Linked DNA regions of Drosophila melanogaster. The protein of the gene in region 2 interacts with the protein of the main gene of each other region in a biochemical or structural test. Each region holds a gene or a part of one and is shown on either strand. Other genes may lie near its edges. The genes, in order: ECSIT, Mekk1 and Cdk5.

Region 1 (10,298 bases), about 13 Mb from region 2:
TAGCAAAGCAGATGTTTTTGAGCTTGCAAGATAGCTCCATCGAGATTGGAATTAAGTTCTATGCTGGCTAATAAACTTATTTGAGTAAAATTTACCAAAACGAATTCTCAACACTAAAGTACTAAAGTAAAGTATGGAAATGTAGGACATGCAGATGACCGCCTTCGCAACCCCATTTATTGTTAAAAATACGTTACTATTTAAATTTGAAAAATGTGTGCCGTTCACAATGGACGCCCCGTCAGCCAGTGTTGGTAAGGGTGCGCAGCAACTGGATAGGTCAGTGTCCAAAAGGGACTAACGCGTGGCGAGCATAAACATCTGTTTGTCGGAGTCACAAAATGTAGGAAGTTTATGGTTTATAATAATTGATTGGATTGCTGGCGCAACTTTGGCGTCCCCGAAATTTGAAGTGTGTTGTGAGTGCTTAACCCACATGAGTGCAAAATTGCCATGGCAACGTGAATCGAACACGAACAGCAACACCCACACAGAGACCATTGAAGATCCGCGCATTGTGGCGCAGTATTGCATCAGCAACTGCGTAAGTGCAGCACATTGACTCCATTTTTGTTTTGCTGATGAAATCGCAGCGCGATTTTTGTTTCTTGTGAAATTCCGCTCTATGCTTGCCAAGCTTTTGTTTGTTGGTTGCATGAATTCGGTAAACGCGACAGTTACTTCCCGGAATTCAAACGGAAAGGAGCTTTCCGCGAAGCGTCCTCAATCAATTTCGAGATAGAGATAGAGAATAATAACGCAGCTGACGCGGTCAAAACAAAAGCGCTTGTGTAGAAAATCAAATGCGAAGCAAACGCGGCGAGGACAAGACGCGAAAAGCTGTCAAAACTACGCGCCGAAAAAGGAAAGGGTCTGGTCGATCAGAAATCCGCTACGCAACACAGATTGCGTATCTACATAAAACGTAATAATTTAATTGTGTGGGAGTTATCTCACAATTAAGAAGGTTCGTTTTTAAACTAAGTTTCCTTATTTGAACAACAATCGTAGAACTAAAGAGGTGTGTTTGAATTGTGGAAAGCCAAGCATTAATTGTTGAATAAAATTATCAAACGTCGCGGCTTCGCATCAAAATCGTGAAAAAGTTAACTTTTATAGTTCCAGTGTCGAAGGACGTAATGGCGTGTGACGTAATTAAACATTGTATATCCTGCCTTCTAATTGCAAAAATAAAGTAATTAGAATTAAAACCTATAAATTTACCATTTATCGTTAGCTTTAGTAATTAAATAGGTTCGTAATAACATCCCGCATTAAATATTTAGGTAACTTTCTTCTTGTGGAAATTCACTAAGTTAATTTTTTTAAGCTCAACCCCCACTTGCTAAACAAAAAATACGTTCCATGAAAGAACTCAAACGCCCTAGGGTAAGGTATTGCGAAAGCTTTTGAAGTATTCAGGTGCTTGTTCTTCGGTCAACAAAGCAAAACAATCGGGAGCAGGTTATAAACAAAATCGAAAGGCACCCAAAAGCGGAGAGCACAAGTACGCACACAACTACGAACTACAACTACAAAGCACAGCACTCAGAACCCAGATAGCCGAACGAACAACAAATTCGACCTGGGCAAATGAAAAGCGCAGCCAAAATCGATATTTTGTGCCAGCGTCGCGCGCAAATAGGAGCTGCTTTAGCGCTTAATATCTCGAATAAACTCGAGCGGATTGGTTTGATTAGTGAGCCAAATATAGGGATTATCTGGTAAGATGTTTGGAACTTGTCGTATTATCGACCTTCTGTTCCACCTGCCCCCGCGCGTGGGCTCGAAACAACGGCCAGAGTCGTGGCAAACATAAACAAGCATTTTCAAGGTCGCTGCAAGTCAAAGACGGCCAAAAAAACAAATGGGGAAAATTTCAGTTTTGATGGATACACATAAGCAAACGGTTCCATCAAAAAGATACATAGAAGTTGAAAAATAATTGTTTTTAAAGTGAAACAAATGACGTGGTGTCGAAATAAAATTAAAAAAACTTTAGTACAATATTAAAAGTTATTTCAACCCAATTATATTGGGTAATTCTCAGACTAAATACAGTACAGTATGAGTAAACAAATCAAATAATATTTACTTATGCATGTATCTCATTGCTATTATTTCAGCCACGGCTGTTCGAAAATCTGTATGTATGTACATAAGTATGTACATATGTACATTTTCGATGTCGCAATTGGCCCAAAAAATGTTTTCTTCTCAAGACAAAGAGTTCCTTTGTCTAAACAGAATTTTTACCATTTACCTCATCTGAATTTTGTATTTATATGATCCACGCTTCCCTTTTGCAGCAACACATTATGGAGTCCTTCCTGAGTCTCTTTGATCCCAATCAGGACGACGGCTTCGAGGAAGAGCCCGAGCTCAATGGCAACAGCAGCGGCGGCGGAAGCAGCAGCAGCGACTATGAGACGGACGCCAATGCCAACGAGTGCAGCGTAGTGAGCGGGATGCCCACCGAGCGGGGCAACCTGATCTTCGACTTCGAGCAGGGAATGCTGCCACCAGAGCCGCAGCTCGGAAATGTGGAGTACAAGCTGAAGCTGGTCAACCCGTCGAAGCAGCGATTCGAGCACCTGGTGACCCAGATGAAGTGGCGTCTGCGCGAGGGAAACGGCGAGGCCATCTACGAGATTGGAGTATCCGACGCCGGCTATCTGCAGGGACTCAGCGACAAGGACATGAATGCCTCGCTCACCACGCTCAAGCAGATGGCCCACAGCCTAGGAGCCAGTACCTCAGTGCTGCGGCGAAAGACCATCGCCGCCCGACGCGCCGTCGCCGAGGTACTGGTCCGTAAGATCCCCGACGACCAGCACAACATCGAGGTTCGGGTGGCGGTGCTCGGCGGAGCTGATGCAGGCAAATCCACTTTGCTGGGCGTGCTTACACAGGACGAGCTGGATAACGGACACGGCCGGGCGCGGCTCAATATGTTTAGGCACATGCACGAGATTCAGTCTGGTAATATGTCGTTATAAGCACTAAACACAGATATAAATTAAATTAAGATGTTTGGCATCCATTTTAAATTGTCATCAATAAGGAATATATCAGTTGTACTACATTATTCATACATCTCTCGTTTACAAACTTTTTTTTAAATTATATTTATCACTCACAAAGTCCGGTTTGTTTGCTTGAAAATTACCAATTTGCTCCTCTTTTCCTTAAGGCCGCACCTCCTGCATCTCCCACGAGACGCTTGGCTTCGATGCACTGGGTAATGTGGTCAACTACAAGTACAATGAGATGATGACGGCAGAGGAGATTAGCGACAGGTCCAGCAAGCTGGTTACCTTCATGGATCTAGCCGGACACCGACGCTACATGCGCACCACCGTGCAGGCACTGAGTGGATACTCACCCCACTACGCCATGCTGGTGGTATCGGCGGGCAGCGGTTGCAACGACACCACCGAGGAGCACTTGGCTATCGTGCGGGCACTGGACATGCCCTTCTTTGTATTGGTCACGAAGACAGATATCACATCGCCGGACGCGACGGTACAGGAGTTGTGCAACCTGCTCACCACCATTGGGTGCCGGAAGGTTCCCTTTGTGGTGACCAACACGGATGAGGCCATCTCCGCCGGGTCAAACCAGATCTCCGAGAACATTGTGCCCATCTTTTGCGTATCGAATGTGACCGGCACGGGACTCAACCTAGTCACAAAGTTTCTGTACGTCCTTTCGCCCGGAATCAGCAACGCCGAGAAGGATCGACTCGAGCAGGAGTCTTGCGAGTTCCAGGTGGACGAGATCTTCCGGGTCTCTGACGTCGGACCCGTTGTGGGCGGTCTACTTGTCCAGGGCGTGCTGACCGAGAATATGGCAATGAAGATTGGTCCGCTTCCCGATGGTAGCTTTCATCCCGTTACTGTTAATACTATCCACCGAAACAAGGCTCCTTGCCGAGTTGTCCGAGCTGGTCAGAGCGCTTCGCTGTCTTTCAGTATGGATCAGGATGTGCCCACGCTACGAAGTGGCATGGTTCTTTTGGGTGATATTGGAAATAGTCTGGATGAGCCCTACGGGACCTTCTTCTTCCAAGTGAGTTGCTAGTTTTCATTTATCGTTACCAAATAAATACATCAACTTCCCTTTGCAGGCCAAGGTGTCCGTGCTGTTCCACGCCACGGCCATCTATGTCGGCTTCCAAACCACAGTCCACATAGGCAGCATTCGCCAGACGGCCGTCATTCGGGGCATTATGGGCGGCGAGCGACTGGGCACAAACGATTGTGCTTCGGTGATGTTCGAGTTCGTCGGCCACCCGGAGTACGTGCGTCCTGGAATGCGCATCCTGTTCCGCGAGGGCACCAGCAAAGGAATCGGAGTTGTCACGCAGGTGTTTCCGGTCAACAAGACAGGCATAAAGTAGAGAAGCGGGCCAGATGGATAGTTCCAATGACATATCTATATATCTCAAACAAAGATGACATGTACATATACTTAATTAGCAATTAGAGGGAGGCGTTAAATCTTAGGCAGATCTTCTGTACACTTAGTTTCGGGTTCTGTGATTTTTCGTTTAAGCTCGGCTCACAATCGGATGTTGTGAGTAATCCTTCTCAATTAACCTTATTTCATTAAAATCCACCCCAAAATGCATACAATGTTGCTTTCAATTCGCGTCCGAGCCAAAGAGTATAAATAATTACCGAAGTATTAATTTTTTTCCTTCTAGCAGATGTACATATATATGTACATATGATCAAAACCGACTAACTTTAAGCAACATTTACCATCAATTCTATGGTATACAAAGACGAAAAAGTGCTCAACAATTTGTTTATTTCTGTCTACTGCTAATGTGCTCATCTTGACTACTGTTATCACTTGTTGCCGGGACACTGGCGCCACCTTCAATTTCCTCCGCCTTGGCTGGCACTTCGGATGTGAACCGGAAGAGGACGGGCACCTCTCCTATGGAGGGATTTCCGTTCGCTTCCAACAGGCGAATCCACGAGAGCAATGAGTCCTTTGTGGAGGTGCCTGTGGCACAGATGGCCATAATGGTTCCGTCGTCCTGTTGGTGGACAGAGCGCAGCTTTCCCAGCTGGTTGTGTCGCCTTGGTGGAGCACGACCAAAGAAGGGTACTTCGATGTGGGAGACATCGTCCTCGTCCAGCTGCCGCTCATCTAATTCAGACAGGAACTCAGAATCTGCATCAGCGCGCAGGGTAAAGTAGTTGATCCGGCGATTCCTAAGCCATATGTGAAAGGGTCCCTCGATGTACAGAGCTTTCTGGCGAGAGTGCTCCCGCAGCAGTTTCTCCTGCTCGGGACTCATTCCGCTCACGATCCACGTATCGTCAATGGCATCCTTCAGCTCGCTGGTCTCGAAAACCGTGATTTTGGACCGCAGGTCGACCGTGCACATCCGCTCTAGCGCCAGCTTGGCCATTTCCAATGTATCATCCGGAACAGGATCGGGCAGTGGCCACGGTGATAGGTTCTTAAACTTTGGCATCCAGTACATCATGCGCCAATACTTGCGCAGTGGATGTCCCTGCCTGCCAAACACATTAAGCAGCATCGCCTCCATCTCGTGATCGGGCATCACCCCGCAATCTTCCATCTGCTCAAGCAGATCAATGATACACTGCTGCTGTTTGGGGTAGTGCATGAACTCTGCCTGGAACATGTTGGTGGGTATGAACTTGCCCTTGGGCATCACGTTGATCAGGGCCTTGTAGACCTCCAAGTCTCTTTCCACCCCGAAATCCGCCATATTCTTGAGTGCCGCGTAGATGAACTCCACATGGTTCCGACGGTGGACGTCGCGCTCCTGGAATATCTCCACCATGGTCAGGTAGCTGTTTTTCGTCCTGTCCTGGGCGGCGGCAAAGGGGTTCCTTAAAGCCGGCAGGTTTTTGGTGCCGGGTTTTTGTGCCCTGGGATTTGGATTCGGGTTCTGTTTCGGATTTCCCTCGTCCGTAGCGTAGTTTCGAAAGCGGCTGACCAGCGAATGGCCTCCATTGCCGTGCAGCCGGAGCAGGCATTGTGCGCGGCGCAGCATTTTTTATTTATAATTAATTAATTGAATAAATTTGCAAATACGATTACAAAACATTGCACAAGCTGCGGAACTAGTTCGCGTTTTGCAGCACTGCTGCTGCAACATATGTTTTAATAGTGCCGATAGTCTAGCGTATTTAGCCAAATTTGGTAAATTCTAGGGCGAAAAATTGTATTTAGTTTCGGCTGTACCCAAAGATTTTCAAGCTTAAATAGTGTCATGACCGTAATACACGCTTAAAGTCATACGCTAGTAACAAAAGTTGAAGTGAATATTGCATAAGCTCATTGTGACTACCTTCACGAATCTCTTCCTTCGGAGAACAGCTGTTTGTCTGGCTTAGGGCCATCATCACTGGTGACTGAGTTGCTCAACACTGTATTAACTCAGTGTATCCTTTGTGCTGCTTTTTGTTGTTATTTCACCGTTTTCTGCGTTATCCTTATTCGCATAGTTTTCGGTTGTTTTTCTGTTGTTTAAGTTAGTTCCGAACCCTGAGTTATTTGCACGGGCGCGCGCCTACATAAAAATGCAATCCAACAAGCCGATCTCTGCGGCGGAGGCCTGACCAGCAGGCAGTATCTATAACAGAAGCAAAACAATAGACTTTGGCTTGGTCCCAAGGAGCACCCACCAGCCCAACGTTATTCGAGACTTCCAGCCGCCAAGGATGCACTGAAGGGAAGCGGAAACCCAAGGAGCATTTGATGTTCCCGCAATGCGAAGAGGGTAAAGAGGATTCGGGCATCACATTCTACTGACATGTTGTGCTTCGACTCGGAGAGGATGAACTGGTACTACCACGTCCTGGCCAGGCGTCCCTACCTGGTGGTCGTCTCCATTGCTGTCTACTGTGTCGCTTGCATCATCGTGGCCCTCGTCCTGAACAAGCTGCCGGACTTCAGTGATCCCACCTTGGTTTGTCCTATTAGATTTGTCCAAAACATGTTCACTGCTTGATATTTGGAGAATATATCTTATCTTATTTTACAATTATTTTTTAAAATATTGAGCACATGGAAATAATCCGAAAATGTCTAAATGATATTATTTTATTTAAATTTCGTTATATATCTATTTTTTTTAAATATTAAGAAGTTAAAATATTTTAAATATTCACAGAATTGCTATAAGAAACTACAGGATTACTTGTATACAAACTATTCCTGTATTATATTTTCATTGTTATTATGTTATTGTTGTAAAAATTGTGGAAAATAATAAGATTAATTTCTCACTAATATGACTTATTTGATCACTTTATAATGTGATTATTTGTCATGATTAATATTTATGATTCAACATTTATTTCACTTTAGGGCTTCGAAACCCGCGGCACCAAAATTGGAGAACGACTGACGGCCTGGTACAACCTGCTGCAAGAGACTGACCACCATGGTGCTCTTTTCTCAAATCCATCGGATCTGTGGGAGAGGAGACGGGTAGAGCAGGGCTATGTGGAGACGAAGCTGCATCCGAATCACAGGCGACGCAAAAACAAGCACAAGAACAGAAACAAGAACAAGCGACGCAAGGAACAAAATCAAAGCAGCCACGAGCATCACGATGTGGCGCAGAAGATGATGCAGTTCAAAAAACGGCTGAAGGCTACTAGTTCTCCCTCTCCAAATCTCGGCTTTGACACCTGGATCGGGGACAGTGGAGTATTTCGCGACTACGAGATTACAAACGACAGCGCTTCCTCCTCTTTGGAACCCACGCGACGCACTGAGCAAATCGAATATGGCCACAACACCACCTCAGTGGACGAGGAAGAGCATCAGCAGCGGGTGCAGACCAAGAAGAGCACTTGGCGGCTCCTAAAGCAAGCCGCCACCTTGCCCACCGACGGTTGGGCAGACATGCATCGTCGCCAACCCATCGAGGGATTCTTTTGCGATTCATCGCCCCGGAAGGAGTACTCTCATTTTGTGGTCCAGCGGATCGGTCCCAACGCCACCGATTCTCTATTTGATTTGAACGGACTGCTGGCCATGTGTCAGTTGCAGGATCAGATTACCGAAGTCCCCAGCTACCGGGCATTTTGCGAGCCGGAGATGCTTACCACCGAGTGCTGCCGGCCATGGTCACTGCCCAACTACGCCGCCATGCTGGCCAACAAAAGTTCCTGTTTCGACCTTACCACGGAGGATGTTACTTCGCTGCACACGCTGCTCTTGGGCTGCTATGAGTACTTCCATGACCTAAAGATGGACAACCACTGCAACGAAATACCGCATTGTCGTGCTCCTGAAGAGTGCAAGCGGCTAAATATCGTCTTTAACGTCCTGAATTTTCTCACCGACTTTAGTTTCATCAAGTCTAATGTAAGTTATTGAGTTTAAAATAAGCTTAGACCCCAAAACTCTTTTATTAAAACAGATTTGTATTTGTCCGTTGCTTTACTCGTATTGCATTAAATTCGACCATATAATATTGGCACTTTTTTTTTTTGTAGGACTCGAATGTATACCTGAAATACGCCATGATTTTTATACCCGTGGCGCAATCCAACCGCTTGCTGCCACTGTTCCACGAATGGGAAGACGTGTAAGTATGGAGCACAGCTAATATTTGCGAAATTGATACCGGTCGATGGGTGTGGAGGGCATTACATTATTTTTAGCTTTCATCAAGGCCGGAACGCATATGGTATCAAAATAGGTGGTCAAGTTGTACTTTGTGAAAATTTTTCGTAAATCGCTGGCGATTTTGTCCAGAGTAGTGTCCTTTAGCCTACGTTCTGGATAGAAGGAGCTCCTAAACGGCTCCGTTTCCTGCAGGAAATTGTAATAGCACCCATATGTGGTCCGATAGTCCTCGTCCTTGAGAGAGTAACCTTTTTTGTTCCTATAGCGCCGTCGACTTACAAAAGAAACGAAGTCATTCCGAGAGTAATCGTTCATGTACACCGATCTACGAAGGTCCTTCACAAAGTCCTTCAGAATTCGGAAATCCACAGGCGGATACATAAAAAATAGCTTGTAGATCCTTTCGTTACACCACTTGTTGCGCTTGATGAACTGTGCGTAGTCCTCCCGCCAGTCCATTGATTGGGGCCATGTCTTTGTTTTATATTCAATGCCACCAACCTTTAGATTTGCGCAGTAGTGACCACTTATTAGAGAGGGATCCTCTTGGGTTTTCTTAATCGGGGGATTGTAAACGGCTCTTTCAGTATGATCCACATAATCCGCTCTGCTGGTGGTTACAAGCACCCTCGTCCTTGGCAATTCCATTTTAATTAATTCCTTTTCCCGTTGAACTGGATCCATTTTGCAATTTTTTTTGTATTTTTCTTTTATTTAAAAATATTTTTGATGTTTTCTGTTTGATAATAATATTCTGAATGATTTTTCAGGGAGCTGATCAACGAGCTTGTGGAAGTGGTTGCGATGGACTTGGGCCTCGAAAACGAACTCTTTAACGAGCTGCTGCTGACGGACGTGTGGCTAGTTTCGCTGGGAGGGACATTCGTCATGGCTAGCGTGTGGTTGTACACGGGATCGGCATTCATCACCTTGATGTCCTGCGTAGCCATATGCTTTTCGCTAGGACTAGCGTACTTTTTTTACGCCATCGTGCTGGAGTTTGAGTTCTTCCCCTATATGAACCTTCTGGCCGTGGTAGTAATAATTGGCATTGGAGCAGACGACGTATTTCTGTTTCTTAAGATCTGGCACTGTGTGCTGACCGAGAGGTTCAGCAATCGATGTACCTTGACCACTCAGTCCCAGAGTGCTCTTCCCACCCTGGAGAACAGTGATCACACGGAGTCACTGGAAAACATAATGGCGCTGACTATGCGACATGCCGCTGCCTCCATGTTCGTTACCTCACTTACCACCGCCGGCGCCTTTTATGCCTCCTACAGCAGCTCTATAACAGCTATAAAGTGCTTTGGGTAAGTTAATAAAAGCAAGATTAGATGAATCTTAATATTTAGTAATGCTCATTTAATAAATTATATTTTTAGGATTTTTGCGGGAACTGTCGTGGTGACCAACTACTTACTAATGATAACTTGGTTGCCTGCATCGGTCTCCATCATGGAACGACTATTTGCCACAAGGATGTCCTGCCATCATCCGATGTCAATAAAGCTGATCCACGCCTGCAAGAAGTCAATTAACCGATTTTGTCAGATGTTTGAGGAGTGCATCACGAAAAGCATCATGAACTATGCCTATCTCTGGCTGCTGATCTTTGGGGCTCTAGGCGCGTCCAGTGCCGTCATTGTGTTCTGGTATCCAGG
Region 2 (11,532 bases):
ATACCCAATGGGACGTGAGGACACGCAGCGATAGCGATTGCAGCTCTCCACCACCTTGGAAGCAATTCGCAGTGGAATCGGCGCCATTGCCTCCGAATTGAGCGGCATGATCTGGTCCAGAGACTCCAGCGGATGAGCTGTCTCGTGGAAGCTGTTACCTCGTGGAGCAGCCACCGCCGTTGTGGCCAACGAGTTCTTCATCTCACGTTCCGAGTCGCGAAGGAGTGACTGCAGCCGCTTGTCCGTCCGCTTGCTCTCATCGTTGACAAACATCTCGTTGAGCAGGGCGCAGTCCATAGTGTTGCGCCGCAGGACGCGGGATCTGGCCGTCCTGGTCTTTTTGGGGGTGCCACCCACACTGGCCGGTAAGTCTGCGGAACTGAGAAAAAGCGTTTAGAAAGTGGTCGCTAATATAAAAAAAAGCGGATACCATTAACAACACAGGAGATCTGCATTTTTTTATTATAATAAAAAGACTACTGTTATTTGCATATTCTTGAGGTTACACCCTGAAATTCTATATATTTCTGGATATTAATTTCCAAATAATTATCTGAGATTTTTGTAATTTATATTAAAATCAAATTTTAAACTGTGTAAAATGGGCAATTCTTGAAACATATTTATTTGTAAATGGATATTAAATACTTCAAGGTTATTTAAAATTATTTCCATTTTCTAATAACAGTGATTACGAAAATGACATCAGCCATAGAGATGGCACTATCAGATGCGGCATATGGTAGCATATGGTCATTTGGTGAGTTTGCGTTCGTCACTATTCCCGATCACGTACCTAGCACGGACGCAAACCCTTATCGCGGCCATCCTGATGCCTTATCCATATGGAGCACACCGCATTTACTGATTGACTGTACTGATACTCACGCTGTCACATTGACCACCTTCTGTTTGCGTTCCCAGTCGCGGTTCTTGATTTTGAGCCTGGTACGTGGCGGAGTAGTGCCGAAGGCCTCATAGTGCGCCGCCAGCTCATCTTCGGGAGGCATGTCCTCCTCCAAAGCACCAATCCGATTTCGAGTCATCTGCACTGGACGCGAAGGCGTCTGCTTCACACGGTACTCAACTCTAAAAGATCAAAAAAAAAAAGAGTAGATGATGACGTTAAATATAGTATAGTATATTTGCATTAATCTAGGGGCTTGTCCTAATTGTTTCGCTAATTGCAACGGCGGACAAGTGCCGCTTAATCGCCGATAACCCAGATAAATATACCTACTGCACTCAGAAAAAAGCTTTAGTATTACGGTGTGTAATTTATTGAACAAGGAATTTTTCACTCAATATATTTTACATCTGCGATAAAGTGATTAAATTGCTAAGTTAATGTATATTAATTTTCATATTGTCGCAATATAATATATCTTTTTTTTTAGGACTATATCAATGAGTGTTTGAATCGAGTTTTTAGCGAAATCAATTATCAGTTGATAAATAACAGTTATCCCGAACTAACATTAAAATTTTTTATTTGAACTTTCAACCAAATTTCACGCTGTTCTCCGTGTGCATCACATACAAATTTGTCGGTGTATCCAAGGGAGTGAAAGCGGCAAACTCTGGGGAGGAGGACATCCCTATCTTATCTGACTGCTGCCGGTGTTGCAGACAGCCGCATGTCACGCCTGCGATTATGCCCTAATTTGAGCAGAGGTTTGATTTATTCCCGACCAAAAAAGCCCAAAATTGGCTGGCAATTACTCGTTTGATTGTGGTGTGCAAATCGCGTCACACTTTTCATCAGCCCATTGGCTTGGATCACTCACTTCTTCCGACGCATTTTGCAGACCTCCTCCTGGGCAATCACTGTTTGCGCAGTCCAATAGCTCCAAAACCGGCACTAATCAGCGAGTCGCAGCGAGACGAGAGAGAACCTTGGAGAGTGCAATCCTCTTTTTTACTCTCAACTGGCTGGTTGATAATGCCGCTGTTTTAAACTTTGCTTAATCGCCGCAATCGAGGGCTAGTGTTACTTTCAGAGTCTCCGGTGGGTGCCCGAGCCAGATTTATGCACATCTAATTGCACCGCACCATACACCACTACAACCCACTCTGGGGACAAAAAACAAACAGCGGCGGAACGATCTGAGAGCAAATAAAAAGCGACAGCTCACAATTAAAAGCTGGTAGAGCTGGAGAGAACTTTAGACGCGAGCCAGCGAACGATGACTGGACTGGCCTGGGGGCTGGATGACCGATCCGCGGTATGCGACTGCCGATTCCCTTCTCGGATCGATGGAATCTTTACTGGTGGGGTGGGTTATGGGTTATGCACTATCTCCCACCGTAGTAGTGTGTAGTTTTCTGGCTGGTTTTCTGGTTTATCACGACGAATTGCAAACAGGCGGCAGTAGTTCGCACGCCTCGCACCGAACCCTTTCGAATTTCATAACGCGCAGCACTTGTCGCGGCAGCCAGTCAGTCAATTTATTAGCACTTTTAACAAGAATATTCCCCATCTATTCGCCAATGCGTACAGTATACGGTTTTGTATGTAGCGCAAGCGAGTGTGTGCCGCGGTGCCGACGAAGCGGTGTCGCCCCCAAACCGACTGCTATTCACTGCCAATCGCGGCGAACTGAAAAGAGCGAGCGACGACCGCCCGACCGACGCATCCGATTGTTTACGGCCCTCAGCGGAGAGCAACTAGTGGGTGGCCACTTCAAATCGGGGATGCCGGTTTAGCTATTAAATAGTTATGTTTAACATTTACCAGTGGTCATTTCAGTCAGAAACTACTGGAGTGTGGCACAGAAAGTGTAAAAGTATGCATAACATATTAAATATAAATTGTGAAGCCTACGGTTTACAATAAATACAATACCTGCCACTATAAACTATAGCCATTTGTGTATGGTATCTCAGAGAGAGGAGACGCAATAAGATGAGCAACAGAGGTATGGAAACTAAGAGCACAAGAAAGAGAGACACACCACCGTGATACGGTTTGTTGTGGAACGCAAAGGGGTATTCGATCGTTTCTGGAGCGCATTGCGTTTGTTTGTGGTTCGCAATTGTCTTAGCCGCGAGAATATTTATTATTAATTTATGGCATTTTATTATGTACCCGCTTGTTGGCTAATAAGCAATGTGTTTACTTAAGCTTTTGAGTGTAGGTATTTTTCTACAAACGGTCAGAATATGAAAATCGATTCAAATCAAGTCAATCAACTTCATTGGCTCTATATGAAAATCTTTGGTCACGTGACCAGCGGTGCGTATACTTCATATTTATAGATACACATAAAAGTTGCACATTCGCACCGTGGTCCCCATTTATGTATGAAGCATTGGAAATTCGATGACTAAGCGATCAATTTATCAGATCGACTGATAGGACGAGTTCGTCCAAAACAAAGTGAGTTGTAATAAGAAACAGACAATCAGACACCCAATCAAGATTATTAAATGTAAACAAATGTTAATATGCAACCATAGTTTTTAGTTTTATCTTTCAATGCTTCTTAAAGTAAAGTAAAAAGTTAAAAATGTAAAATAGTAATCAAATGGATTTTGAGAGGTTTTCAATTTTTAAATAAATGGAAATAACAAATCATACACAATCTGTGAATCTCATGTTTATGCTGTTTTCTTCTGTAAACATGGCATTTAAAAACACATTAGAAACTTCTAAAATTAGTGCAAACGGCAGTGGCACGTGTGTGTGTGGGCGCGTGCGTGTGTAATATGCGGAAATGTTTTCTGATATGTGTGTACAATTATGCTTATCAAACATACGAAAGCCCCAAAATTATAACCAACTGAACTGAGGTCTAGAACGTGGAGCAAAAGAGAGAGAGAGAGAAAGATAACCTGCAAGTTCAAGTACAAATACGAATGTTGCAAGAGCGCGAGCTCCCGCTCTCTTCACCAAAGCCAACAACAGTTAGGCCAGAGACCTTCAATCATCGGAATTCCATTCAGTTAGCCAGGTGACAACCACAAAACATTATGGACGGAGATATGAGAAGAAAGCGAATTCGATTTGAAAACAGAATAACGAAAGAGGTTACAAAGCAGAGTGGGCAAACGCACGTATTAAACGCGTTTTAACTTCCAATAGTCTCCCCTCCGTCTCTTCTTCTTCTTCCCTCCCCCCTAAAACAGGTATACCAGCTGAAGAAGAACAAGATTGGCGGCATCAAATGAGAACAATGCTTACAGATGTCCGAACTACCGATTACCCTATAAATGCTGTTTAAACCTTTAAAGTCAAAAACTTTTTCGTAACCTTTCCTAAAGAATCACTGCTTGTATCTTAGCATATACGATGCTTTAATAAAAAAAAAAACATATGTAATATTATATCTATACGTTGCCATTTTTCCAGCGAACCAATCAACTTATCAATTAACAGGTATTAAAATATAGAGACCAACGAAAAAAAGAGCGAGCAGCAGACACATAAATCTCGGCTAATTTCACTTAGTTGCCATAGAAACAGGTGCCAAAAGAAAATGGATGTTTGTCGCAAATTTCCTGCTAACATACGACAATCATGTTTTCCCGCAAAACGATGAACACTCACCTATCCCATAAAAATCAAATCAAAAAAATGAAGTGTATTATGAATAAGCCCCTGCGCATAAGACACAAAAAAAAAAAACAGCGGAAAACGTATCCGTAATTCTCTCAAGGTGAGCGTGTGTATGTGTTATCAGTCCACCGTCAGCGTTATCAGCAAATATCTTGGAAGACTTGAGGCGGCCCCACACAAAAATATGACTATGATAAATGCCGAAATACTACGAAAAACGACGCAGAGCGAATATAACATGCATTATAAAGAAACTTAGTTTTTGTAATGTAATACCTAGCAATTATTGCTTTTTTATTTGAACACATTAAAATCAGTTTAAAATATTTATGAAGGGTGCTCTCTTGTAAGTGAGAAAACTTGTTGATCACTGAAAACAATCGTTACTGTTACATAAAGGAGCGTTTAGACTTCAAGATTTGGTTTCAATCTCAATCTACTAAAATTTCCACAAAAATTTCTAAATATATTACGTGTTCGACGAGTATGCGTTACACAAATGTGATCCAATTTTTGCAGTGCACCTGTGCAGAATTTTAATTGCGCTGCACACAAAGTGTTTAATTTCAGGCAGAATTCGCAATTTGTTGCTGTTCATTTTTTGTGCCTGTCTTGCAGTTCGCTAAATTCTGGGGTTCGTTGAGCCACCCAGGCCAACAACAAGATAACGTGGTCAAAAAACACGTTGTTTACGTTTAAACAATTAAAACTGGTGAAATGCACAGCGAGAGAGAAGAAATGCGAGAGCGAATGAGAGGGAAACCCCGCAAATATGGCTTTGAGAGCAGAGCCGCGACAGAGATATGTTAAAAGAGGGGGAGAGGAAATGGGAAAGAGAGCGCTTGTTAGTTACGTGCCAATGCAGACTTTCTTGTTTCTGTTTGTGTTGGGAAAAGCCCAGCAATTCGAAAACCGCTGGTGTGCTCTGCTCACCTTGCAACATCCTCCTCGACGCTCTGCTCGCGTCGTAATCGTATGGGCGGAATGGGCGGGATGGGTGGTGTGGGTGGCGTTTCAGCTGTAACGGTACTATGATGCCCATTGCCATTCTCCTCCTCCCTTGCCACCTGCTCCTCTGCATTTGTTGTTGCTGCCGGTGTCTTTTGCAAACGCAAACTCTGCTGCAGCGCCAGATAATCAATTGTTCGCACTCTTCGCCTGTTTGACATTTTTGCAAAACTCTGTTTTTTCTGCTTTTGTTATATTCTTGGAATTTGCTGCTCACACGCACACATGCTCAGCCAGCCGCCAGTGCACAAACACTATCGCAATCCAGCACCAACACACACTTGCACTTTAGTAAGCACGCGCCGCGTTTTTATTTTTCTTTTTGTTTTGCCTTTGGCGATAATCAGATTTATTTTAATTTAACTTTCACGGCGAGCAAACACATAACGTTTAACGCGCTCCCGAACTTGGCACGCAGGTAAGCACTTTGTCGTACGTCTTACCGGGCCAAAAAAAGCAGCTAACTAAAGTCTTCGAGCCACTCAAGTCGCCCGGCGTTTTTGAAGAGTGAAAAAAGAGAGAGCTTTAGAGGTGGCAAAGAAGCGATAATCAAACTGGGACTTTTCGTTCAACAATTGGTTAAAAGCTTAAACTTAGCAGAGTATTTCGAAGAGTTAAATTTTTGCTTAGACTTTGCTCTTAAATTTCTTTTAACAAAATTGGTAAACACATTGAGGACATCTGAAAATAATAATTAAACAAATTGCAACTTTTTTCAACAAAGTTCGAAATACATTCTTGAAAATAGCTAAAAACATTGGTCTATCCGATTATTTCTGCCTCTCCAAAGCGGTAAACCATCGTTAGGCGTCCATCACTATTCACAGATGGGCGGGATATTTAATTTTGAACGCATGATTATTATCAGCACCAAAAATTATTAAAACTAAATGAAAGTACATATAGATAGTACAAATATTTATAACATATGCACTTGATTCTAAAATGATGATCCCCCTGGTGATTAGAACACAGCGTGGTATTTTTCCTTCTGCATGCCCTCGATTCTCTTTATTATTTAACAAACTTTAGCGTGTGTACAAAATCAACAATTACCAGCAATAGAAACACTTGCCCAGGGCAAAGATTAAACACGAATTATAAAACTAAATTAACTACCTGGGATATGGGGCTTAACAAAGAACGAAAAAAATTAAACTACTATATCGAAGAGCCTAGAAGAAATTCCTGAATATGCGAACGACGGCCTGGACCCATCGCGGAACGGGTCGTTGGACGATTTCCCGCTCCGCCGTCTGTGACAGATCGTACAGCCGGTCAGCTTCCGCCTGCAGCCGCTGGCTTAGATCCTTATTAGCCGTCACAAGGCACACCTGTGTCTCCAGATCGCGGTTCACCGATCGCTCGCCAAAGTTCGAAGAGCCGATCAGCGTGAGGTTTGGCAGTATTGCCTCTGGCAGGTAGTACCACAGTCCTTTAGCATGGTACGTCCAGCCGGGCTTTTCGTACTCGAAGAAGTTAACGCGGTGGTTTTGCTTCCGGCGGACCAGGCTCTCGTAGAAACTCTTGGCTATCAGTGTGTAGGCAGCCGGAATTCCGCCCGCTGGTCCTTTGGCACCCTGAAAGCCGTTTGCCTGGAAAATGAATTAAATCGGGTTACTATTGGTCAACTAATTACTGATAGCCACTCACATTTGGATGAGCCATCAGTATGCTGCATTGGGCCAGGCACTTGTGCGTGAGCGTGTCCATGTACTCCTGCGTCAGGTTGAAGTACCCGGTGGCCAGTTTCAGCCGTGATCCAGACAAGCAGTTGGAGAGCAGCCGCTTGGTCACCACGCTGTCGTGATGAATGCCGATCTGGCCCATCTCAAGCAGCGGAAAAATCCATGTGTCTGCCTGCGGATTCTGCTCTTTAGTTCGCGCCTGCCGCTGAAACGTCTCCTGCACTAAATCGGAAATACGTTTACGGGCAAGCTGGATAAACTGCTCCTTGGTGCCCTCGTACGGCAGTATTCGCCAGTTGCGGTGCAGTCCCTCGCTGGCATCTGGCGCCACTGCCAAACTAAACTCTTGAACGCGTTCGATGAACTGCGCATAGAAATCCGCCAACGGTTTGTCCTCAATGAGTATGTATCGATCCTGCCGGTTGGTGAAGTAGTCATTGGACAGATTGGCGCCTGATATGATCACGGCATCGTCGAACAGGTAGACCTTCATGTGCTGTAGTCCGAGAAGCTCATTCCACCGTGGCGGTGCTAGTCGCTTTGTCATCCCGCGCAGATCAGGCGTATGGTACAGGGATAGCTGCACCTGGCTCGCAAAGTCGCGGACCAGGGGTAGCAACATGGTCTTGGAGTTGAGGGTTCCCCGCGTGCCGCGTGTAAAGTCCAACAGCACGTTGAGCCTCAGGGCAGACTGTTGCTCCAGGCTGTGACGCAACGTCTGAACCATTGCGTTCTCCAGTTGCCCAGTGCCCAGGTACAAACTGGCCAGCACTATACGGCGTTTGGCCTGACCGATTCGTTGCACCAGCGTTTCGTAGAAGTGCTTTGGCTCGTGGATGACCTGAATTTGATCGCCTCGCAGCGGGAAGCACGGCGCTAGGTTGTGTAACCAACTTAGGCTCTCCAGTGCGGGTGCTCCAGGGAATCCGGTGGCCAGGACACTGGGCGCCTGCTGCAAGCAGCCCAGAAAATCGCCCTGAGCAGCCGGAGAGAGCTCCTGGCTGAAAAGGCGGCGAAGGTATGGCATCATCTTGGCGGGGATTTCTCTGACGGATTGGCAAGCGGATCCTCACTCTGGGCGGCTGCTATTTGATGACAGGGTATGGCGCATTGCTCACTGTCTGTTTGGCTGTATCCGGAACACACTTTCATTCATGGAGTGCTGTTTTATCACAAAAAAAACTTCGAATTTCAGCACGTAAATAAATTCCAGGTGGAACGCAAGTGTTGCAAAGCGAGCTGGGATTCGATAACAATTTATAGCTATCGGGAATTATCGACTGTTCATAATGGTGATGGTGATATGGTGATCCTGCTATGTGTTTCTTAAAAAAAAATAATATTTAAATCAAATTAATAAAAGCCTAACCATTTATCAATAGTTACTAACTGTTACATTTTTAACATTTTTGTGTATATCTACTTTTATATATATGCATAAAGAAATATTTGAATAAATTTACTTGAAATATTCAACCGGTATCTTACTAATATGCATTTCTTTTTGGTAATATTTAATTTTAGTTTAAAAAATCGTTTAATTTTAAACTGCAATAACATCGATGTTGTCAAATTTCTAGAAACATCGATAATACTAAGAATCGAATTAGTTTCACCTCTAGTTCAGGTCATAGAAAATAGACGCGCTGTTTTAAATGTGTGTTTGAAATAAAAATTGTGCAATAAACAAGCTAATAGCATTCAGGTCTATATCGAATTCTATACATTGTATATCTCTGTACGATAATTGTATATATTGTGCGAAACCGCGAGAAAATCGCACTCTGACCGTCGGAAACCTGGAAGATATGGAAAACGCCGATGCGACTTCGCAATCGGATGTCCACATCGACTACAAAACCCCCAAGAAGACCCACTCGCTGATCGACAGTGAGCAGTTGCTGGACAAGATCAACATCCTTACCACCAAGCCGGAGAATCACTCCCAGAATGCCAAGGTACGCGGAGGAATCGCAAACTGGCGATTACCACACGTGGGTGGTTTACAGTTAGCCACGGTTGCTAATCAAGAAAATTTGAAATGCCTCTAAACACAGTGTTTATGTAAATTGATTAAAAAAGGGCAGTACATGTTCAAGAATTAATGAAAAGGTTATGTTTATGTATTATAGGAAAAACGAAAAACATATGTACGTTCAAATGTGATGTTATATAGGATTTCCATTTCAAAAACATTTTTACAGTTCTATTTATCTTCTGTTTTTTTTACATAGCTCCTTTCTTCATTTCCTTTTACTGGCTATTGATGTACATATATCTTCTTTTATCCAATTATATATATACACATATGCTTTTTTAAGATTTTTTATTTTTTATATCTAGAACTGAAGTTTTTCTATGTCTAACTTTAGCTATATTATTTTCCTTTGTTCTGCCTTGGGCTATAAGAATTACCACCACCACTTAGGTCACTTTATTATATAGTAATGGATACATTCGCTTTCTTATACAGCTTCCCACTATCAAGGATTTTGTCATCATTAAGCCAATCAGCCGCGGCGCCTTTGGAAAAGTCTTCCTGGGCTACAAGAACAACGACTCGAAGCGGCTGTTCGCCATCAAGGTGATGCGCAAGTCAGAGATGATCAACAAGAACATGGTGTCCCAGGTAATCACGGAGCGGAATGCCCTGGCCCTCTCCCGCTCTCAGTTCTGTGTCAGTCTCTTCTACTCCCTGCAATCGCTCTCCTACGTCTACCTGGTGATGGAGTACATGGTGGGCGGGGATCTCAAGTCACTGCTGGCCATGTTTGGGTATTTTGACGAGCCCACGGCCCGGTTCTACGTGGCCGAGATGGTGATGGCGCTGCAGTATCTGCATCAGCACGGAATTGTCCACAGAGATATTAAACCGGACAACATGTTGCTCTCCTCCAGTGGCCATGTGAAGCTTACTGATTTTGGGTTGAGCAAAATCGATATGCGAAGAGATCTGGAAATATCAGACCTTATAAACTGCTCACCGAATTTAAACGCCCGCACGCCGGGCCAGCTTTTGTCGCTTACTTCGCACCTGTCTTTTGGGTCAGAGAAGAAACTGAATGACTTCGGTTCTGTTTCAAGTGGACAAAACAACGGAATGGGCTCGGTGGCCACGGGGACATCCCACTTGCTGCAGGCCATCAACAAGCATAGTCTGATAATGGAGCTGTCGGATAGCGAGGGCGACACCTCGCTCAATGATGCAGAGAAGACGAGCGATAGCAAGATATCTGGTGTTTCCCCCTTCTTTTCTGCCGAGGAGGCCAATGAATCCATTACTCATACCTGCACTACAAACGTAAATGTGGGTAAACATATTGCAATTAAAATGGATTTATTCATCTATCATTCTCCGAATCTTCAGCCCCAGGATAGCAGCTCGTCTTGTTCGTTCCACACTTGTAACTCGGCCGACCTGAGCAAGTGCTCACCACCACTGGAGTCAAAGGACGGTGCTGCTGCGGGCAATGCGATCCCCAGCAAGCGGCGCGTGGAATTCGTCTTGGATGCGGCACCCTGTCAGGTAAGTGGCTGGAAATCGGCCAAACCCGTAATCTCTGTATTTATTTGCATAAATGGTTGATTCTCTGAAAGGGCTGCAAGCTGGCCGAGCAAGACAGCAGCAACATGGCCACCAATGATGGCAAACATTTGCCCAAGATAGATAACGCAATCGAGGCTTCGTTTGAGTTTTCCATGGTGCGCAGGCGATCGGTCGACGAGGTGCGTTGGCATGTGCATGTGTGTGTGTCTGTCCATTGTGCGGTTTCCCTTTCTGTATTAAAATACTAGTATTTTATAACTAACTTTACAACTAACCAACATTAAATAGGTTAAAAGATATGTATACCACATATGTAGGTAGTTCAGTTAATAACTACCTCTACTGTTCCCTTTAGCGAAATCGCATCTCAAAGGGGCCGGAGGATTCAGGGGTGTCCAGTCGCAAGGGCGACGACTATTCCAGCTGCCACTTGAATCTGAATAGCGAGAGCACGGCTTCGTCGATTGAGAAGAATGTGGACAACCTAAGCCAATCCAAGGAGGATTTTAGCTGTTCAGATTACTCGCGCAGTTATAACGTGACCAACGGCAACGAGATGAGTGGCATCAACATGAACTCGCCGTTTCGGAATCTGTCCAAGCACTTTAAACGCCCCGACTTCCTGCGCGGCATGAAGCGAAAGATCAATTTGGTCAATCGCTCCGACAACATGTCCAGCATGGATACCGATGGCTGCAGTTCAAGCAATGGAAGTACCAACACCGGACTAA
Region 3 (10,687 bases), on a different chromosome or scaffold from region 2:
GTGATAAAAGGTCCGTGGTCCGTGAATTTTACACAGATAAACCTTGGGCTTTAGGTAGTCATTTTAGCTAGAATGGAAAAATTGGAGGGAGTGTGTGAGTGCATAAAGTTGGTAGGGATCTGCATTTATTGATTTTTTGTTGACGAGTGGGTGCGGCATTATTCAAGGCGCAAATTACTATTTAACACGTTTGAATCGAATCGCTTTTGTTAGGTAGCAGCAATTCGATTAACAAAGCCATCGGTCAATTAACATCTGCTTGAGCAGATATCTCCATCTAATTTGGGATTATCACCGATCGCGGTGATCAGATAAGTATAAACAAATTAGCAAGATTTCGGGGGGACTGACTGATAAGATATGTGGCTTTGAAAACCAATTGTTTGTTGGGTAAATAAGAATACATTTGTCGAGTGTGGAGAGGGGGAGGGTGGGAGTGGGCGGCAGGTTGTTGATAACAGGCCAAAAACAAAATCAATAAACACAGGCAGCGATATGAAGTCTGAAAAAGTCAACAAGTCTACTGGTCATCACTTAATTGTGATATTATCTACAGTTCTGCGGCTATGCTTGACTTATTTATGCAGTTTTTACCACTTGATTCCTCTTTTGAAGGCGGAACTTTTTTCCTTCCCACTGCCGCAATTGTTTTCTTTGTGTTTGTTTTGTTGAGCGGAAACAATATTTATGGTTTTCTATTTTCTAGGATTTGTCTTAACTCAAGTGGGTTTTCAGATTACACTCTTGGGAGTAATGTGCGTTATAATACTGATATTCTGATTATGATTTTTTATCCGCACAGCTGGACAGAGCTGCTATTAGTGATGGTACAACATCAACCTATCGAAACTATCGATGTATTCAACTTCTTATATCGCATCGATTGTTTTTTGCGTCTTGAATATATAATATATATTTTGTGATAACAATGCTATTATATATAAATGCCTACAAATTCTCTTATTCCATTCCTTTTCATAACTTTCACTAAAGCTGAAGTTATCTGAGAGAAGCCAACTTCAATGCTTCATCAGAAACAATTGGCTGATTAATACATTAATAATAATATATTTAAAATTAATAAAACATTATAAAATAACTGAAGACGTATCGTTTATGGATTAATTAAAAGGCATGGCAACGCTGGTTGCCCAACGTATTTATATCAAAAGGTGGCAGCGCATATGCGAAATTGAAAAGTGTGGCAATGTGGAATAACCGCCAAAACCTTTGGTATTTTAAAATTTCAACTTCCTTTATATTTGCCGACCCATTAAAATAAACTCAATTTGTTGATCCAAGGAAGAATATTTATTCCACGCTTTGTGCAATACACTTATATAAATACATTATACATGTAATACAAAATATTTTTGCTCCTCTCTCTGAGTGTGTGTGTAAAACATGTTGCAAAATTTGTCGGGTTAGCACAAAGATTCAATAATATATTAATTATAAAGAAATTTAAATGCGTTCGATTTCAGTTTTGAAGTATTCGATCGTTCAATATAGCGTAATTTCTTTTTTGTTTTCTTATTTTCGTTTTGAAGAGTACATAATTTTGTGTGTTTTTGGTTTTCTTTTGGGTACTTTTTTAGCCAGCATGCACAGACTGAAATGAAGAGAAAGGAAACGTAAAGTGAATCGAAACCAGGGAATTTATATCGCAAAACAAGGCTCAAATCAAACGAAGGTAGCAAACGAAAGCAGCGTCCTCCTGTCTACAAAGTCTTTTGATTGCCATTTGTTTTGGTTTCGATTGCGTCGTCATTCATTCACCTCGACGAGCTCTGAAGTTAGATAAATTCAGAATTGGAACGTACCCGAGCAATGTCCACGCCGGTTATGTTCTTGACCAGCTCTGGCACTTTGTTGACGATCGACAGAACCTCGCCGGTCAGCTTGGCAGCACCGATATCGCCAGTTCCGCTGGACACCATCGTGATCTTCTTAGCCTGTGACAGTGGAGCAGCCACCTCGGCGGCAACCTGCGAATTAGATTCAACATAGAATAAATTATAGATTCTTTTAATCTAACCATTGACAAACCTTTGGCAGTGTGTCCAGGAGCATCTCCACCATGGCAGCCTCACGGTACTCACGATAGGCCTCTGCCTTCATGGCCATCTGCTCGGCCTCTGCTTTAGCCTTGGCCGCAATGGCAAAGGCCTCAGCCTCACCACGAATCCTGATCTGTTGCAAAGAAGATGGAGATGCTTCAGTTAATCGTAGTCTATAAGCAAATATTTAGATGGTATCTAACCGATTCAGCCTCGGCCTCGGCTTCCATGACCACGCGCTGCTTGTTGGCCTCGGCCAATTTCTCCATGCGGAACTTCTCCGCCTCGGCCGGTCGGCGGATGGTGGCCTCCAGCTCTCGCTCGCGGCGCATGATCTCCTGCTCCTGGACGGCAATCTCCTGCGTGCGCTCGATCACCTTCACCTGCATCTGCTCCTCCTTGATGCGCTGCTTGGTCTTGGCCGCTTGCAGCTCGTAGGCCATCTCGGCCTCGGCCTTTTTGGTCTGCACTTCCACATCGTATGCTGCCTTCTTCAGCTCAAAGTCGCGCTGGGCCTTGGCAATATCGGTATCGTTGAGGAAGCGTGCGGCCATGCGTTGCTCCTCGGCAATGGCCTCCTTAATGTGGGCCTCCGCTCGGGCCTCAGCCTCGCCAATGCGGGCATCGCGCTTCACCTCCGCCGTGCGGGCCATACCCAATGACCTCAGGTAGCCCTGAAAATGGAAATTGAACGCGAGGAGTTAGTATCCCGATAGTTACACAAGAAGCTGAATTTGATGGACGTGTCCCAACGATTCCACGCACAGGCGGTTGGGCGGACATACGCACCTTTGAGTCGCCCTACAGAGGATCCATGTGGACATGCAAGAAATATATATATTCACATATATACAAGAGGTTATTTGAAAAAAGGGAGCTTTGAAGCCGGTACACAGTGATGGGAAAATCGAATAAAAAAAAGAAAATCTAAAATAGAAAATAAGTTTGAATATATATAGAATCACTGCAGAATTGCTAAATAAATTTTTGTTCAAGTATACAAAACCAAAACTAATATATATATAAAATACAGAACCTATTCCCATCACTGCTGATGATTGGGTTAGTTGTGCGGGGAGAGTGGTAAAAAGTAATCGGTTGGAACTACGCACCTCCTCATCGCGCAAATCCTTGATGGTGTAGGAAACCACGGTTATTCCCATGTTGGCCAAATCGCTGGAGGCCACCTCAAACACCTGCTTGCTGAACTTCTTGCGGTCCTTGTAGATCTCCTCCACGGTCATCGAACCCATGATGGCACGCTGATGCCCCTCCAGGGTGACCAAGGCGATGTGGTTGATCTCTGCCTCTGATTTGCCCAAGAACTGCTCACAGGCGGTCAGCAGCATGTCCTCGTTCTGACCCTGGACCTTCACCTGTGCAATGCCTGTCACCGAGATGGGCACTCCTTGGCTGGTGTACACGCAAGGACTCTCTACCTGGAGGGTCATCGTGTTCAACGAAATTCTGGGGAAGATTGGCGGACATTTAACATCTGAGGGCTTGTTATCTTAAGACTAGGGACTCAGATACGAAGCCAGAAATATTAACTAAATATTATCTGATAAAATAAGATTATTTTATTATAATTTAATATATTTTAATAAAACCGAATTCTTACGAATAATATTTCGAATACCCGCGCTTTTTAGCGCCTCCCTAACCTGTGGCTTTTCGTTGGAACCCCTGGTCTAAGCCGGTTAAAACTCACCGCTGAACCTGCTGGCCCACTGGCCAAACGAATGCTCGTCCTCCCGGCACCAAAAGCGGCTTCATGTAGCAGCACCCTGCGCAGAAAACAAACAAAAAACACTTTGTTTACAAAACATTGCAGCATTTGGATAACAGCACCGCAACGCCGTTCAAATGCGCACGCATGGCTTCGGACTGCCGCATATTCAGCTTCTTCCCCTGTTATCCCAACAACAACATTTGCGGTACACAAAAATCGATAGTGACGTCACTTGGGGTGGGGTGTATATATATGTGTGTGTGCGTGACAATTTCATTTTTATTCACTGACTTATTTATTTAATCGATTTGACATTATTTTGAGCATATAAGGATCGTGTGATTTACCAGAGACAACTAAAGCCTCGTTGGGGCCGCAGGTTACAAATCCCCAAGTCATTTCTGCAGCACTTATTTGTTATTTATATTAGAAAATGGGTTGCTGCTGATAACAGCTTTTGTTTTATCTGCGCGGTTAACACAGTTTTCCGATTATTAACTATATAGCGAATTATCCGATCCACAGGTAGCCTTGTTTATTCGTCTAATAATATATATAAAAGAATTTCCGAGGTACTCGGTGCTTAAGATTCAGAAATCCGACCGGTTCGGTTAGCAATTCGTAGCACAATAAAAAAATCTCTCAATCTGTAAAGTTCTCAATTTCTAACTCGCGAGTGCGCAGAACGACTTTAACCCCTATTGAGTGCCGGGGGTTGAGGCGACCACTTCAAAATATTCATCATGCTGCGACGACGTAGTGCTGCGGTAAGTGTCTTTATTGGTTTAAAAATCTAGGTTACATCTCAATTTTTTTTATTCTAATTTACTTAATGACTCATATCATTCAGAAAGATCGAAATTCTTAAAAATACACAATAAATGTAATAAGAAAATCGTCGACACTCATTAAATTTGGAAACCAGATGTATTGCCTAGTTTTTAGTCTTTGAAAACAGAAACTAGGATTTCAAATATTTTTTCCACATTCACACAAACAGTAGATATCGTCTAGGAATTTGAACAATTTTCGGATCTTAACGATACACTCAACATAAAAATTTTTAAGAATAAAACTATTTTACTGAATCAATAAGTATTTTATCGATAAATGTTAATTTGGCAGCTCAAATGGCTATATTAAGTGTCACATTGGTAGGGATTGTCATAAATCAAACCTTTTGCTTTGGTAAATCAAACTAATGAAATTATAAAGAACTTTTTATCTTATACTATAATCGAACTCTACTGCAAGGACATACATATATAATTAAAAGATCTTTGCTGGACAAAGTCTCGCATTTTGGCTTAAGTCTAATCAAAGGTCGTGAAAACAGTGGCTTGGAAAGAACCTTCCGACCTCAATGTCCCGAAGAGCTGCTGTCCGTAAAGTAGGGATGCTGCATCGCCGCCTCCGCGCTAATTCGCTGATTTGGCCGGCAGATGAGCAGCTTTTGCAGCAGGTCGCGTCCCTTGGAGTTTAGCCTAGGTACCAGCTGACTCCACGAGGTGATGGCCGGAAAAGCTATAATATAAATAGGCTTTTAATATTGGTATCGATAAATAAAATCCGTCTAGAATCCCTACATGGAAGCGCCACGTAGTCGGAGAGGTGCGAAACTCCTGGCCAGGAGTCCTCGTTGGGGGTGCCCAGCACACGGAAGATCTTCATCAGCTGATCGAGCACGTCAGAGCCAGGAAACAGCGGTCGTCCAGCGTCCGCCAGTTCGGCCAAAATGCATCCAGCGGACCACATGTCTATGCTGGTCGTATAGAGCTTGGCTCCAAATAGGACATCGGGTGGTCGGTACCACAGGGTCACCACTTCTGCGGAGTAGCACTTCACGGGAATGCCAAAGGCTCTAGCGAGACCAAAGTCAGCTAGCTTTAGCTCGCCGTTTTTGTTGATCAGCAGGTTCTGTGGTTTCAGATCGCGATGCAGGACATTATGGCTAAAATAGGATAATGTAGCGTAAGTTAAGTCTCAATGCTATAAAATGGATATCATTCGGAAATGTGCCACAGATGAAGTTACTCCAAATAACACTTGATTCTAACTATAATCGACACAAGATAAGACCTAATCCAGTGCTGATACATATATAGGTATACCTGTGGCAGAATGCCAGTCCGCGGAGCAGTTGGAGCATAAAGCTCCTGCAGACGGCCATGTCGATCTCCCCGTTGAGGCTGTCAAAGTACTTCTTGAGGTCCTGGTCGCAGTGCTCGAAGACCAGGGTGAGTTTCTTGTCCGAGTGCAGGACGTCTATGAGGCGCACAATGTTCTTGTGCTTCAGCTCCTACGGATGGTAATGTGCCGATTTAGTTTATAAACTGGAATCACTTCCTGCTCGTCCGACTGACCTTCAGCAGGCAGATCTCCCGGAGGGCAGAACTGGGCACACCCTCGTCGTCCTCGTCCAGTCGCACCCGTTTCAGGGCCACTATTTCCATGGTGTCGCGGTTGCGACCCTTGAACACCGTGCCGTAGGTGCCCTCCCCGATCTTCTCCATTTTATCGTACTTCTGCATTTTGCTGTGTTTTGGTGTGTATTATTTTGCGTTCAGATGGAAAACTCCGGGGATTATTGTTTTTGCAGTTTGTTTTTGCTGGCCAGGGATTCGTGCGCCTAACAGCACACTGTTATTCGCTTACAGCACGCGGTGACTAACCAACATCGCAGCTGACAGTCTGCTGTCACCAAAAATACTCAAAATTAACAGATATCATTTTAAAAATGTTGATAAAACTTTTGTTATAATTTTATTGTTTTATTTGGACTCGATATTAGCTAAACATACGAATATAGACCGACAATGATAAACACCGATCTTATGGTACCGCAATGCAACAATATAGCAGAAATATAAGTATACAAGTTTCCTAATTTCTTTTGCCCTTTGCAGAATACCAAGCCTGGCTTACTATGTCTGCCCGATGATGTTCTAATGATAATTCTAAGTTATCTCGACTTGAAGACCCAACTAAAACTGAAAGACTTTCATTTCCGGTTTAAGAAATTAATGCCGTATGTGTGGCGTGCTTATAACAAATGTGCATATATATCCTTGATTGAAATGCAGCTGAGCGACAAGGATTTGCTATTCTTCCTGGAAAGTACTCAACAAATCCTCAGCACTCTGCGGCTCAAAATGAATAATAGATCTAACTTCGAAACACTTACCAGCTGTAGTTTTCCAAAACTTAAAGATTTTCGATTTTCCACGCATTCGTTTAACTTAAACGATGCGGACGTGCCAAGAATGTTGAAAACTTTTCCAAATCTGACAACTTTTAGCCCCCATGGAAAGTTTACTGGCAAACACTTTGATGAATTCGAGTTTCTCGAGAACCTCACGGTCTCCTACTGCAGCAAATTCAATGTCACCAACTTGATACAGATCCTGAAAACCAGAAAAATAAAATCCCTGAAGCTGGGTATCTTCGATATTGACCAGATTTCGAACACAGAACTGCCCTGGAAAGGGATTAGAAACCTAGAGCAGCTGCAGTGCTTCCAGGAGGAAATGATGGTGTGGTTCCTATCGAAACTGGAACGTCTAACTCACTTGAAGAAGCTATTTCTTTGTGGTCACGTTAGATACGGATTTCTGAGAGAGATTCTCATAGCTGCGAAGAGAAGCACTATAAATATGATCGAGATAAGCCAAAATACATCCATATTTTGTGAAACTTACGGTTTAAATGTGGCTATTAAGACCCTAAAGGTGGCTAATTTTGGTATGCATGCGTATCAGCATCTTCACATTAATGTCAATGAATTTTATATACAAAATTCGGTTTGTGTGGACGAAATTAAGTTTCATACCTTAATACAAAACCTAAACACACACGAGGTCCTGGGTATATACCATTGCACCTTCGGATTTAAGGAGTTCACATTCGATGCGAAGAAACTGGGAGAAAACCGTACCACAGCACTTAATATTTATGTGGAACTAAACACGTATCTCATGTCTAATGAGGTCTAAGTATTTCACAACTTATATTAGCTTTCGTTTCTAATATTTTTCATTACAGGATCCCATCCCCATGACCTGGAAAGTGCAAGGGGAACATAGGCTTTTCAAGTTGCACATGAAGCATCCAAAAATCACTTTTAACTCGGATCCAGTTTCAATTTACTTTGATTGAGTTTGATTGCCAAGGAACGAAGCTGTAGACTGATGACTAGTTTGATATGCCAGCTGAGATAGATAACTTTAAATGGCCGAGCCAAATAATTAGTTGTACGTTTTCCCTGGTTATGGAAAAGATTCAACCTTACCGGCGGATTTCAATGAGAAGTTTCCAGGAGTTCTTCAATGCAAGCTCCTCTAGAAGCTGCCAAGGATTGACAGTACTATTAGTTACAAAATAAAGGCTTAGTTTTATTGAGACTGTGTGTCAACTTAATTCAGGAGTACAACTCAAATTCAGTGCGCTCAGCATCCGTCATCGGTTCGACGACTTGAAGGCAGGCATTAGCGAACTCCACGAAGAGTGGCTCCTGCATGGCGGCCATCATGGCCGACTGGGCATTGATGGCCACATCAATCTGCTGGAGCAGCGAACGCAGGTGTGGATTGTGGAGCAAATTACGCAGTTCCTGGCAGTTTTCTGTACGGAAACCATCATACTATGAGAAATGTGTATAATTGCGAATTTAAACACCTACCTAGTTGCTGGAGCTTCTCCGCGGCAACTGTGTCGTCGGTGGGGAAGGGCACATGAAGCGTAGGTTCCTCCTGGTAGCCAACTTCAGTCTTTTTCAAGTCGGACTCCCTTGTCGCACATTGGGGCGAATCCCTGTGTGTCTTATAACAAGCCACAGAGCAGCTACATTTTGCGACATTTATTATCTCCGTAGTGAACTGTTCGAATAGCTACTTACTAGGGTGCCGAGCATTTGCTGCACTTGTATTTTCTCAAGTTATCTACGCAAATAATGCATTTTTCCATCTCATCAAATTCAATGTCGCGTGCAAAATAAAACTCAGCTGTGCGAGTTTTATAGCCTCCAGCTTTTGCCTCTATCGAGGGTTCCAAGCCGTTTCTGCTCCACTGGAACGGCGTTATGTTTTTGGAGGTAAACAATCAAAAAGTTAAATGCAAAACGCAAGCAGAATAATATTAAAATGCGCATAAGATCGCGGGGCTGCATGTTAATTTAGTGAGAAAACAAAACTAGTGGAGTTCTACGACGAGTGTGTTGAAACGAATCCCATAGCTTAGTTAGATTGTTCTGTAGCTGCCAGCCTTCGTCAACAGATGAATTCTATCTTTGGCGCCATTACTTTTAATTTGAATTTGAACAATTTGCTGGAACAAATAAAATGTTCATCATCAACATTCAATTTTGCTCATCATAAATAAGTAAATACTTTATATAGTCAGAAAGCTTCAATCTACTGTATCTGTATCTCACTGACTTACATATTGAAAACGTTTAAAGATTATCCACAGGTATTTTAGTTATTAACCATACGATTAGCGGAGTGTTTGGTCAGATTGAGGAAGACATAGAGTCGTCCTGCCCTTTTCCGGTTACGAATAGCCTTATTTGATTGAATGTATCCTGTGTATCCGGTCTGTTTGCTTTGGCCAGTCTCATTTATGGGCCATCCCGGGCACGTCATCTTCCGTGAGGCTTCCGAGCAAACAAACGAGGAACGCTTATCATTGCCCTCCCATTTTTCCGCCCCAAAGCCTCCCAATCCTTTCCCCCCGCCGCCGATGGCAATGCGCAGTCTGAAGCCACCTGGCGAATTAACCGAGAATTCGACAAGCGCGAGGGGAGCAATCAAATGACGGTCGGCGTGTCCGCAAATTGTAAACATATCCTGCACACGGAACGTACTGAAACGGAACGGTCCTTCCCGGGAAGGAGTCGTTCAGATCCGCTCCAGCTCCAAAGACAAGTACAGTACAACCAGAAGTAAAAATAAGTACAACAGTGAGGCTCGATTGGTTAACCGAAGCATGGAATGCCCTTTGTTATTAAGCTTTCTTTCTAATGAAAACGTGTTATGTGTATGCACAATATATAGTCCTAAAAAGTAGGTTTAGTTGCAAGAGAAACATCTCATTTATATGGCCATATTCAGCTATGAAATATACACATATAGATGTGTGTCATTAAGATTTGATAATAATGATAGTCCTATAGGTAATGTCATTGGGTTATAACTTCTTACAGTCCTGTATACGATAACTACACCCATTGAGATCCTTCGTGTCCTGCTCCTAGTCTGAGCCGTAATAACCTCTGCGAGGGTATGGCAAACAGCGAAAAACTTTTGGTGGCAATAAATGACTTCAATGACTGACTGACTGACCGGATGGGGTGGTCTAGGTGCATGGCTATACTCGTATATGAATCGTTTTTTTTCTTCTTGTTTCTGTTGCCATATTTTGGGGGACTTGTAGCCGGGACTGGTTGTTGTTATTTTCAATCGTTTTTGCTTTGTTTTCTGAGCGCTACCAATTGGATTGCACAAAGAAAAACGAGTGGTACAAAAGAAAGCAAAGGATGCAGGCTAACAAAGAGTTTGGGGATGTGGAAGGTCTGGGGAATCGGGCCGGGTAACATGATGTGGCGCCTCTGCCGCTTCCGCTGTTCGTGAGGCACAAGCGCGATAATTGCCAGCGTTATCCGCTCGGCCTGCCAGTCAAATAGGCGCAGCAGCAGAGGCGCTGGCAAGCAGCGGCTATCGGCGGTGGCAGGGATTTCGGGGGGGCAGGAAGACCCTTCGTGTGACTCGCCTACTTTTGATTTACAACATTCGTGCAACATCAGCAGCAGTGTATCGCCAAAAGGAAAAGGGGCGACCAATGCAAACAGCAAGAAGAAAAGCGAGACACACGCCACCAAATGGGGCGAAAGTTTCTCGCG

The links.
Region 1: the proteins of Mekk1 (region 2) and ECSIT form a complex in vitro, tested with the Drosophila melanogaster proteins (one study listed by BioGRID).
Region 3: of the proteins of Mekk1 (region 2) and Cdk5, one has a biochemical effect on the other in vitro, tested with the Drosophila melanogaster proteins (one study listed by BioGRID).

The regions. Positions count from the first base shown.
Region 1 is NT_033777.3:5,852,416-5,862,713, reverse strand, and holds ECSIT (ECSIT), read right to left. Parts: upstream 6,130-10,298; 5' UTR 6,044-6,129; coding exon 4,814-6,043; 3' UTR 4,800-4,813; downstream 1-4,799. Other genes in the region: CG2017 (uncharacterized protein), read left to right, coding at 437-544, 2,310-2,982, 3,194-4,071, 4,130-4,402; CG34287 (uncharacterized protein), read right to left, coding at 8,611-9,318; disp (dispatched), read left to right, coding at 6,806-6,961, 7,363-8,370, 8,502-8,593, 9,405-9,947, 10,020-10,298. UniProt on the Drosophila melanogaster protein: As part of the MCIA complex, involved in the assembly of the mitochondrial complex I. Involved in the innate immune response; promotes the production of antibacterial peptides.
Region 2 is NT_033777.3:18,737,510-18,749,041, forward strand, and holds the start of Mekk1 (Mekk1), read right to left. Parts: upstream 6,086-11,532; 5' UTR 5,728-6,085; coding exon 5,492-5,727; intron 2,588-5,491; exon of another isoform or gene 1,788-2,587; intron 1,090-1,787; coding exon 889-1,089; intron 380-888; coding exon 1-379. Other genes in the region: PGS1 (phosphatidylglycerophosphate synthase 1), read right to left, coding at 6,742-7,161, 7,220-8,284; gwl (greatwall), read left to right, coding at 9,063-9,212, 9,728-10,561, 10,622-10,780, 10,852-10,980, 11,157-11,532.
Region 3 is NT_033778.4:15,564,980-15,575,666, forward strand, and holds Cdk5 (Cyclin-dependent kinase 5), read right to left. Parts: upstream 6,439-10,687; 5' UTR 6,324-6,438; coding exon 6,156-6,323; intron 6,092-6,155; coding exon 5,904-6,091; intron 5,744-5,903; coding exon 5,379-5,743; intron 5,317-5,378; coding exon 5,153-5,316; 3' UTR 4,560-5,152; downstream 1-4,559. Other genes in the region: Flo1 (flotillin 1), read right to left, coding at 1,595-1,612, 1,824-1,988, 2,050-2,193, 2,264-2,734, 2,850-2,861, 3,173-3,527, 3,772-3,847, 4,140-4,191; CG30466 (uncharacterized protein), read left to right, coding at 4,536-4,559, 6,699-7,778, 7,834-7,947; CG8204 (uncharacterized protein), read right to left, coding at 8,210-8,412, 8,471-8,631, 8,687-8,754. UniProt on the Drosophila melanogaster protein: Probably involved in the control of the cell cycle. Interacts with D1 and D3-type G1 cyclins. Possible regulator of neuronal differentiation and/or development.